Linked DNA regions of Caenorhabditis elegans. The protein of the gene in region 2 interacts with the protein of the main gene of each other region in a pairwise test. Each region holds a gene or a part of one and is shown on either strand. Other genes may lie near its edges.

What was found.
Region 1: the proteins of C16C8.11 (region 2) and pfd-2 interact in a two-hybrid assay, tested with the Caenorhabditis elegans proteins (one large-scale study listed by BioGRID).

The regions. Positions count from the first base shown.
Region 1 is NC_003280.10:4,324,851-4,328,818, reverse strand, and holds pfd-2 (Prefoldin subunit 2), read right to left. Parts: upstream 2,100-3,968; coding exon 1,830-2,099; intron 830-1,829; coding exon 674-829; 3' UTR 535-673; downstream 1-534. Other genes in the region: mog-2 (putative U2 small nuclear ribonucleoprotein A'), read right to left, coding at 2,952-3,483. UniProt on the Caenorhabditis elegans protein: Binds specifically to cytosolic chaperonin (c-CPN) and transfers target proteins to it. Binds to nascent polypeptide chain and promotes folding in an environment in which there are many competing pathways for nonnative proteins.
Region 2 is NC_003280.10:3,451,638-3,455,242, reverse strand, and holds C16C8.11 (Ubiquitin-like domain-containing protein), read right to left. Parts: upstream 1,536-3,605; 5' UTR 1,379-1,535; coding exon 1,298-1,378; intron 1,248-1,297; coding exon 764-1,247; intron 712-763; coding exon 632-711; 3' UTR 555-631; downstream 1-554. Other genes in the region: C16C8.12 (SKA2 domain-containing protein), read right to left, coding at 1,926-2,384, 2,432-2,512; gldi-6 (Ubiquitin-like domain-containing protein), read right to left, coding at 3,351-3,605.

The DNA.
Region 1 (3,968 bases), 870 kb from region 2:
TTTTTCTAAAAAAATTGAGAAAGTTCGAATTTTTAAAACTTTTTTTGTTGAGTTTTTTGACTAAATTTATTGATTTTTCTTCACTTTTTGCAGTTTTTTATAATTTGAAACATGGTTTCCCATTTTTCCAGACATTTTTTCTCAAAAAACTGTAAAAGTACCCTAAAAATCGATAGTTTAACATTAAATTATACTTTTTATGGGAAAAAATTTGAAAAAAAAAACCATTTTTTAAGTTAGTAATCAATCAAAAAATGACAAACTTGAAAAATAGTTTTTTTTTCAATTTTTTTCGCAAAAAATATGATTGAATGTTAAATTATCGGTTTTAGGCTACTTTTTCAGTTTTTTTCGAAAAAAAATTCTGAAAATGTGAAAACGATGAAAAAATCGATGAATTTTGTTGAATAACGGGGAAAATATCGAAATTTGGAAAAAAAACTTATTAAACCAAAAAATGTTTTTTTTTTCAAAAAAAAAAAGATAAAATTGGATTTCAAAAACCATAATAAAGCAGTTAAAAATCGAAAAAAAATTCAAATTCAATTTATGCAAGACTTAAGTTCTTTTAACGGGAGCATATAGAAAAAAGGCAACAAACAGAGTAAGAAAAAACGTATGAAAACATGAAAAAGCAGTAGGAAATCGAGAAAAAAATTAAAGCAGGGGAAATTTAAGCTTTTGGCAATTGTCCAAGAGCTTCAGCTTTTCTCAGCTCGGCAGATTCTTTCTCAGTGAGCAGACGAATGTTGTGTGTAGTTTTGTGAGTGTTCAGCTCTTTTCCCTTTTCGACGAGCTGATCGTTGAGCTGCTTCGAGACGATTGTCAACTGCAAAATTTTATTATTTTCGGTAATTCTGGTCAGTTGCACCATGTTTTTCTGCTGAAAATTTGTGACAAAATATAGAAAATCACTCGATTTCTCTTTAAATTACACTATTTTCAATCGAAATATCCAAGATAGAGCTCAAAAATTGCCTGAAAGTTGAACAAAATTCAACTTTCAGACCATTTTTGACCGTTTTCTCAAATATTTTCGTTGAAATTACTGTTATTTTAAGATTAAACCGTTAATTTTCCATGTTTTGACACTGATTTTCAATGAATTTTCGCATTAAAAATGGCAAAATGGCTGTGAAATCATGGTCTTGTGTCGATTTACGCAGCTCGTGTACTCCACGAGGAGAAGTCTGTTTTTTTTTTCAATTTTTTGTATTTAACCATATTAAAATCGTATTTTTACAGTATTTCCCAGCGCAAATTGGGGGTTTCGCTATAAAAAAAACGGAAAATCTGGTTTTTTTTTTCAATTTTTAGGTGTAAAAACGCGAAATTTTGCGCTAAAACTACGATGTCTGATCTCGACACGACATTTGTTTCGAATACATGACGCTGCGCACCTTTAAAGAGTACCCGAATTTGCAAAGTTTCCATCGATTTGTTTATATTTTTTCATTCGATTTGTTAAAATTGAAGTGTTTTATCGAAAAACTACGGAAAATCAATATAAATTCCACAAATTTCAAATTACAGTACTCCTTGAAGGCGCATAGCTTCCAGATACCGTATTTTTGGTGCAACAAATCGGAAAATTCAGTGTTTCAGATGAAAAAATATTTTTTTTTGCTTCAAAAAACTGTCAATTTTCATCGGAAATACTGTAAATCCCCAATTTAAAACGCGTTAAATATAGAAAAAAGGTCGAAAATCAGGTATTTCAGCCGGAATCTGTAAAATCTTCTCCACGAGGAGTACACAAACTCCGTAAATCGACACATGACTGTTTCCTCCGCCTTTTCTTCTATTTTTCCCGACTTTCAAATCCTCACATTAGCGATATTATTCTGCAAATCCGGAATAACATCCTTGACAGTATACTCGACAAGTGTATCACTAATCAAACGGAAGCATTTCTGATCCGGTTCAAGATCCTTGATCACTTCGAGAACACGTCCAAATTCACGTCGTTCCTCTTCGATTCGAGTCACTTCGGCGGCGATATCCTGTTGTTGATCACGTAGAGCCTTGAACTTTTCGACGACTTTTCGTTGCTCTTCTTGCTCGGCTGGAGTGGCGGCGGCGGTTTGAGCGGCCGACATCTGGAAGTTGTGGATTTTTTGAAAATAATTGTTTTAATGGTAGAGAGCCAGTTTTTTTTTGGTTTTTTTTGCCAAAACTGACCAAAAAAAATTTTTATAATTGAAAAAAAAAGATTTTTCAAAATATTTTGCAAAAAAACTAGTGAAAGCCGATTTATTTTTGAATTTCTCACCGATTTTCTACATTTTTGTATTTTCCGGCTTTTTTTATCGGTTTTTCATTGTCACATTTTCAGTCATTTTTCAGCAAAAAAAGTTGAAAACTCTAAAATTAGCCAAAAATCGATAGTTTTTGTGAAAAAAAAAGTCTAAAATTATCGATTTTTAGGGTAATTTTAGAGTTTTAACGCATTTTTTTAAGGGTTTTGAAGTTTTTTTTTTGCGGAAAAATGACAAAAAAACACAAAAAATGGATTATTTTAGGCGAGAATTCAAAAAAAAATCCGCGTTTTTTCCAATTTTTAAACCTTTTTTTTCCAAATAGATATTTGAAGGCGCTGGGAAGTTCCCAGTGGGAACCTCTCAAAATTAATAAAATAATAAAAAATAGCCGGAAAACACAAAAATGGCTGAAAAAGGATTTTTTTCTAACTTTTTGTTGCAAAAATTTCAAAAAATCAAATATAAAAAGGCACGGGGAACCTTTGAAAAATCGATAAAAATATCAAAAATAATAGGGGAAATATTGTTTTATGGTATATAAAAATTACAAAAAAAGGGAAGACAGACTGGGAAAAAATTGGAAAAAAATGAGAATATAAATAAAACAAGGAGTATCATTTTAACATTAAAAAAATCAAATAAAATAAATAAATAAATTTTAGCAGCACATTCTGCAATTTTCAAGATTTTTCAAGACTCCATCGCTTCCCCATCGGCACCATTCTGATCCATCTGACGATTCCATCCCTTTTCCGGAACCTTTCCCGATGCCAGAATCGACTGAAGATAGTTGACTTCACTGAGTGACTTGGCATTCTTGATCGCTTCCTTGATCTTCTCCCGATCTTCATCAGTAAGCCGAGCACCTCCACCCGAACTATTCTCATTTGGTTCAATTTCTGATGGATCTTCTGTATGAACACTCTTCTGAATCGCATCTCTCGCCTTCTTTCCACTTTTTCCTTTGAACATCTTCTTCGCAGCTTCACGTTCTGTCAGTCTGACTCGATTGAAGTCAATCACTCGAACCGTCGGCAGCTTGTAGATCATATACATCCGATAATTGTCCTTGTGAGTTATCGGATTTCCGATAAATGTCACGTACTCGAGCTTCTTGCATTCTGCCAGTGGCTCAATGTCTCCGAGCTCGCAAATGTTGTTGTTGGTCAGTGCAAGAGTTTTGAGATTTGGAAGTTTTGTGGCAATGTCGGGTGCGATATAGCTGAAAATATGGGGTAAATTGGTGGGAATGGAGCTCGAAAATGTGGGAAAAAAGCAGTTTTGCAATGAAAAATGGAGGGTTTTTAATTTTTTTTCAGGAAATAGTAACCATAAAATTTAAATTTTTGAAGAATAAATTAGAGAAAGTATTTTAAAAATTTGAAAATGACCAAAATTTTAGGATATTTTCTGAAAAATCGATTTTTTCCCCTACTTTCCGAAAAAAACTTCGATTTTTCGAAAAATGGCTTAAAATTTTTCGAACTTTTTCAGGAAAAAAATTATATTTTTCCTATGTTCTTTCATAAAAAACTGATTTTTTCGTTTTTTTTTTTTGGAAAAAATAGCGAAATCCGGCTAAATCTGAATTTTTCGCCAACTTGCCGAAAAAAAAATTTGGAAATTTCATGAAATTTCAGAGCAAAGAAACGTTTTTTTTTCAATTTTTTAAATTCAATTTAGGGAAGTTTGTCAGAATTTTCCGGT
Region 2 (3,605 bases):
TAAACCAAGTAGTTTACGAAAAACTGTAAAATGCACAAAAAAATGAGCAAACTTGTCCTCGAGGAGTACACAAACTGCGTAAATCCACACGTATCCGAAAAAAAAAACGAAAATAAGGAACCCGGTCTCGACACGACAAAATTTTGTTGAATGCGAAAAGGTGTGCGCCTTTAAAGATTACTGTAGTTTCAGACTTCATTGTTGTGGAATTTAAATTGATTTTACAGTTTTTACCACGATTCTTTAAAAAAAATATATTTGTGTTTTTCAATAAATTCACACTTTTTAAATTGAAAAATAGCGAAAAATAGATGAAATATCCGCATTGACGAAAGTTTAGAACTACAGTACTCTTTAAAGGCGCACATCTTTTTTGAATTTAGCAAAATTTTGTCTTGTCGAGACCTGCTACCGGCAATCTTTCTCGTTTGCGCAATAAATTCGCTTGCAGGGAACATGGCGAATTTTTATTGAACACATCGATTCCAGCAGAAGTGCCCTTTCTAGTCACCAATCTGTTTTTTCTCAACATTTCACCATTTAATTTTACAAGGTCGCAATTTCAGATCATTATTCATTCAAAAAAAAGGAACACATAATGATACAGATTAGTAATTCGTAAAAATATTAATTAGGAAGCACGAACTAGCAGTTCAACACTGGTATCCCATTTGTAGTCGGCGAGCTTCTTGTCGTCGTAGAGAGGTTTGCCTGAAAATAAGAAAAACATTTATTAAAAATAAGTCTAATTTGAAAAACCAACCGTGAAGTCTGAGCCAAAATTTTGTGCGTGGAATTCCCGTTTGGCATTCGATTTTCATTTTCAACTGTTCAACGGATTCCATTTTATTGGCTCCAATGGAGAAGAGCCTTCCAGGCATTGAAACGGCAATACAAAGATCTACAACTTTGGTGCATGTCTCCACATATTTCAGAGCTGATTCTGCAGATCTCGGAGACTTTTTCGACGATTCACCGACTTTTTGCTCCGGAACTGAAGGTTTTTGTTGGATTAAATCCCGCTCATAAGCATCCTGACGGCGTTTTACAATATCCAGCTGACTTTGCATTGATGCAAATTGATTCAAAATCTTATTTTGATTTTCCTGGATTTGGCCGAGCGCCGAGAGCAACAAGTTAATCGTATCATCCTGAACTTTTTGTTTTTCCGTCAATTTTCCACAAAGCTCCTGGGTGGCCTGAAGGACACGATTTTCCGAAAGCTTAGCGGAGCTTGAGAGGAAATCCTGAAATGTGAGATTTGTAAATTTGTTTTTAAAAATAAAAAAATAATAACCTTGGTGAGATGTGATTGAATTTTGGAAGTTTCCTGTTGAAGCTTCTGAAATTCCGACATCAAATCGTTCGAATCGGCCATTTTCTGGAGAATAATGTGTTTTTTGAAGGAAATATGTGGAAATATCCCAGGAAAAATCGAAGTTTTCAAGGATTTTCGCTGAAAAAACAATAAAAACTTTTAAAAAAACCAAAAAAAAGCTGAAAACTACGGTAGACTATGAAGTACGCAACGTGTTTGCAGACTTTGCACTTGAAACTACGCGCATAAAAATTTGTCTTTTTTTATTGGAATTAATTCTAAACCTGAAATGAATGTTTTTTTTAGTGAAAAATCATCTAAATTCTAGTTAATAATTGTTTATTCGCAAAATGACAAGGGAACAATACATTTTTTACATTTTTTCAAGGGAAAATCGATAAAAATTAGAATTTAACGGGAGAAAAGGCCGAGTGTTGAGCCTTCTTGGATGTTGTAGTAGGCGAGAGTGTGGTCGTCTTCGAGAACTTTATCTGAAATGGGATATTGTAAATTTTAAAGTTTTCCGGCTAGAAACAAACCATCAATGAGCATTCTGAACGAGCTGGTATCCACATACAACATTCTTGCGAGAGTGTTGAAACGCAGTTTAATAATACGAATTGTATCCGATTCGCGAACCAGAAGCGGGTAGAGTTTGCCGGTGGTGTAAACAGTCCACTCTCCACGCAGCTGGACTGATGTTGAGCGAGAAATTTTCATTTTCAGGCTTTTCAGGCTTTTCAGGCTTTTCAGGCTCGTCTGGGATATTTTTCAAAACTAGTCCTCCCATCTTCTCCATAGCGTCTCCTTCCAGAAGCTTCATCATAATTTGATCTTGAGTTTTTTGAATTTTCAGCAAAGTTTCCAGATTTTTATCAGCATTCTTTGCAATAAGATCATTAATCGATTTCGCATGCTTCAGCTCATTCTTCACAGAATTCAACTCCGACATCAAGCTTTCCTGAACATGCTTCATCTCATCGTGAAGTTCGTCTTGTTTCTTCAAAATCTTCTGGCACATCTCCTGAGTGTCCTTGAGCAGTGCATTCCCCGCAGAGCTGGGTATCTGGAAAAATAAATTGATTTTTAAAATTGTTAGTTAGTTAATTAAACCTCTCTGAACTCATTCTGTATTCTCGAAGTTTCAGCGCAGAGCTTTTGGAATTCGGACATCAAATTGTTTGGCTCTGACATTTTTTAATCTAGAAAACACACATTTTTTGATAATTTTCGTTAATTTCCATAATTTTTCAAGTAAATTCGAAAAAAAACTCGCAAAATAATTGGAAATTCTCAAAAAACTCGACAAGAACCAAAAAACAAGAAAAATTTTCAGATAATTTTTCACAGGGAATTACGGTAGGTGGCGGAGTACGTAACGTGTTTGCGGACTATGCACCTGAAAATACGCGCATAAAAAATTGTTTTTTTTTTGCATTTTTTGTTTTGAACAAATCAAATATCCGAATGATTGTTGAAAACGTTGTTTGCGATAAAAACATCCAAAAAATTGTTGTCAAAAATTATTTATTTACATAATGGCAGATGGGAACTTTATACATTCTTTTAGAGAAAAAGTCGATAAAAATTAGAATTTAAGGGGAGAAAAGACCGAGTGTTGAGCCTTCTTGAATGTTGTAGTAGGCGAGAGTGTGGTCGTCTTCGAGAACTTTATCTGAAATGCAAATTTCATTTTACAGCTATTTTGCAACCAAGCAACCACGAAGCACCATTCTGAACGAGCTGATATCTACGTTTGCAAGTGAATTGATGGTCAGTTTGACTTGTCGAATTGTGTCCGATCCGCGCACCCAAAGATTTCGATAGTTTCCAGACGCTAATGTGCCATGCGAATCGGACCAGTAAACAAAAATATAAAAAAATGAGACATTCTTTGCCAATTCTCCAGTTTCAATTGGGACGTCATGCACAGCTGATCTTTGCATAATCTTCATCATCATTTGATTTTGACCTTCCTGAATTTTCAACATCATTTCCAGATTTTTATCCGAATTCCTGATAAGAAGATCATTCATCGATTTCTCCTGAGATTCCTTTTCATATCATTAGTCTCATTTTTGACAGTCTTCAATTCCGACATCAAATCTTCGATCAATTTATTTTGAGTTGCCTGGATTTTTTGAAATTCTTGCTTCATCTCGTCGTGATATTCGTCTTGTCTCTTCAAAATCTGAGTCTCTTGTTGCTTTTTCATATCACTAGTTTCTTTTTTGACAGACTCCAAATCCAATATCAAATGTTCAATGAATTTGTTTTGATTTTCCTG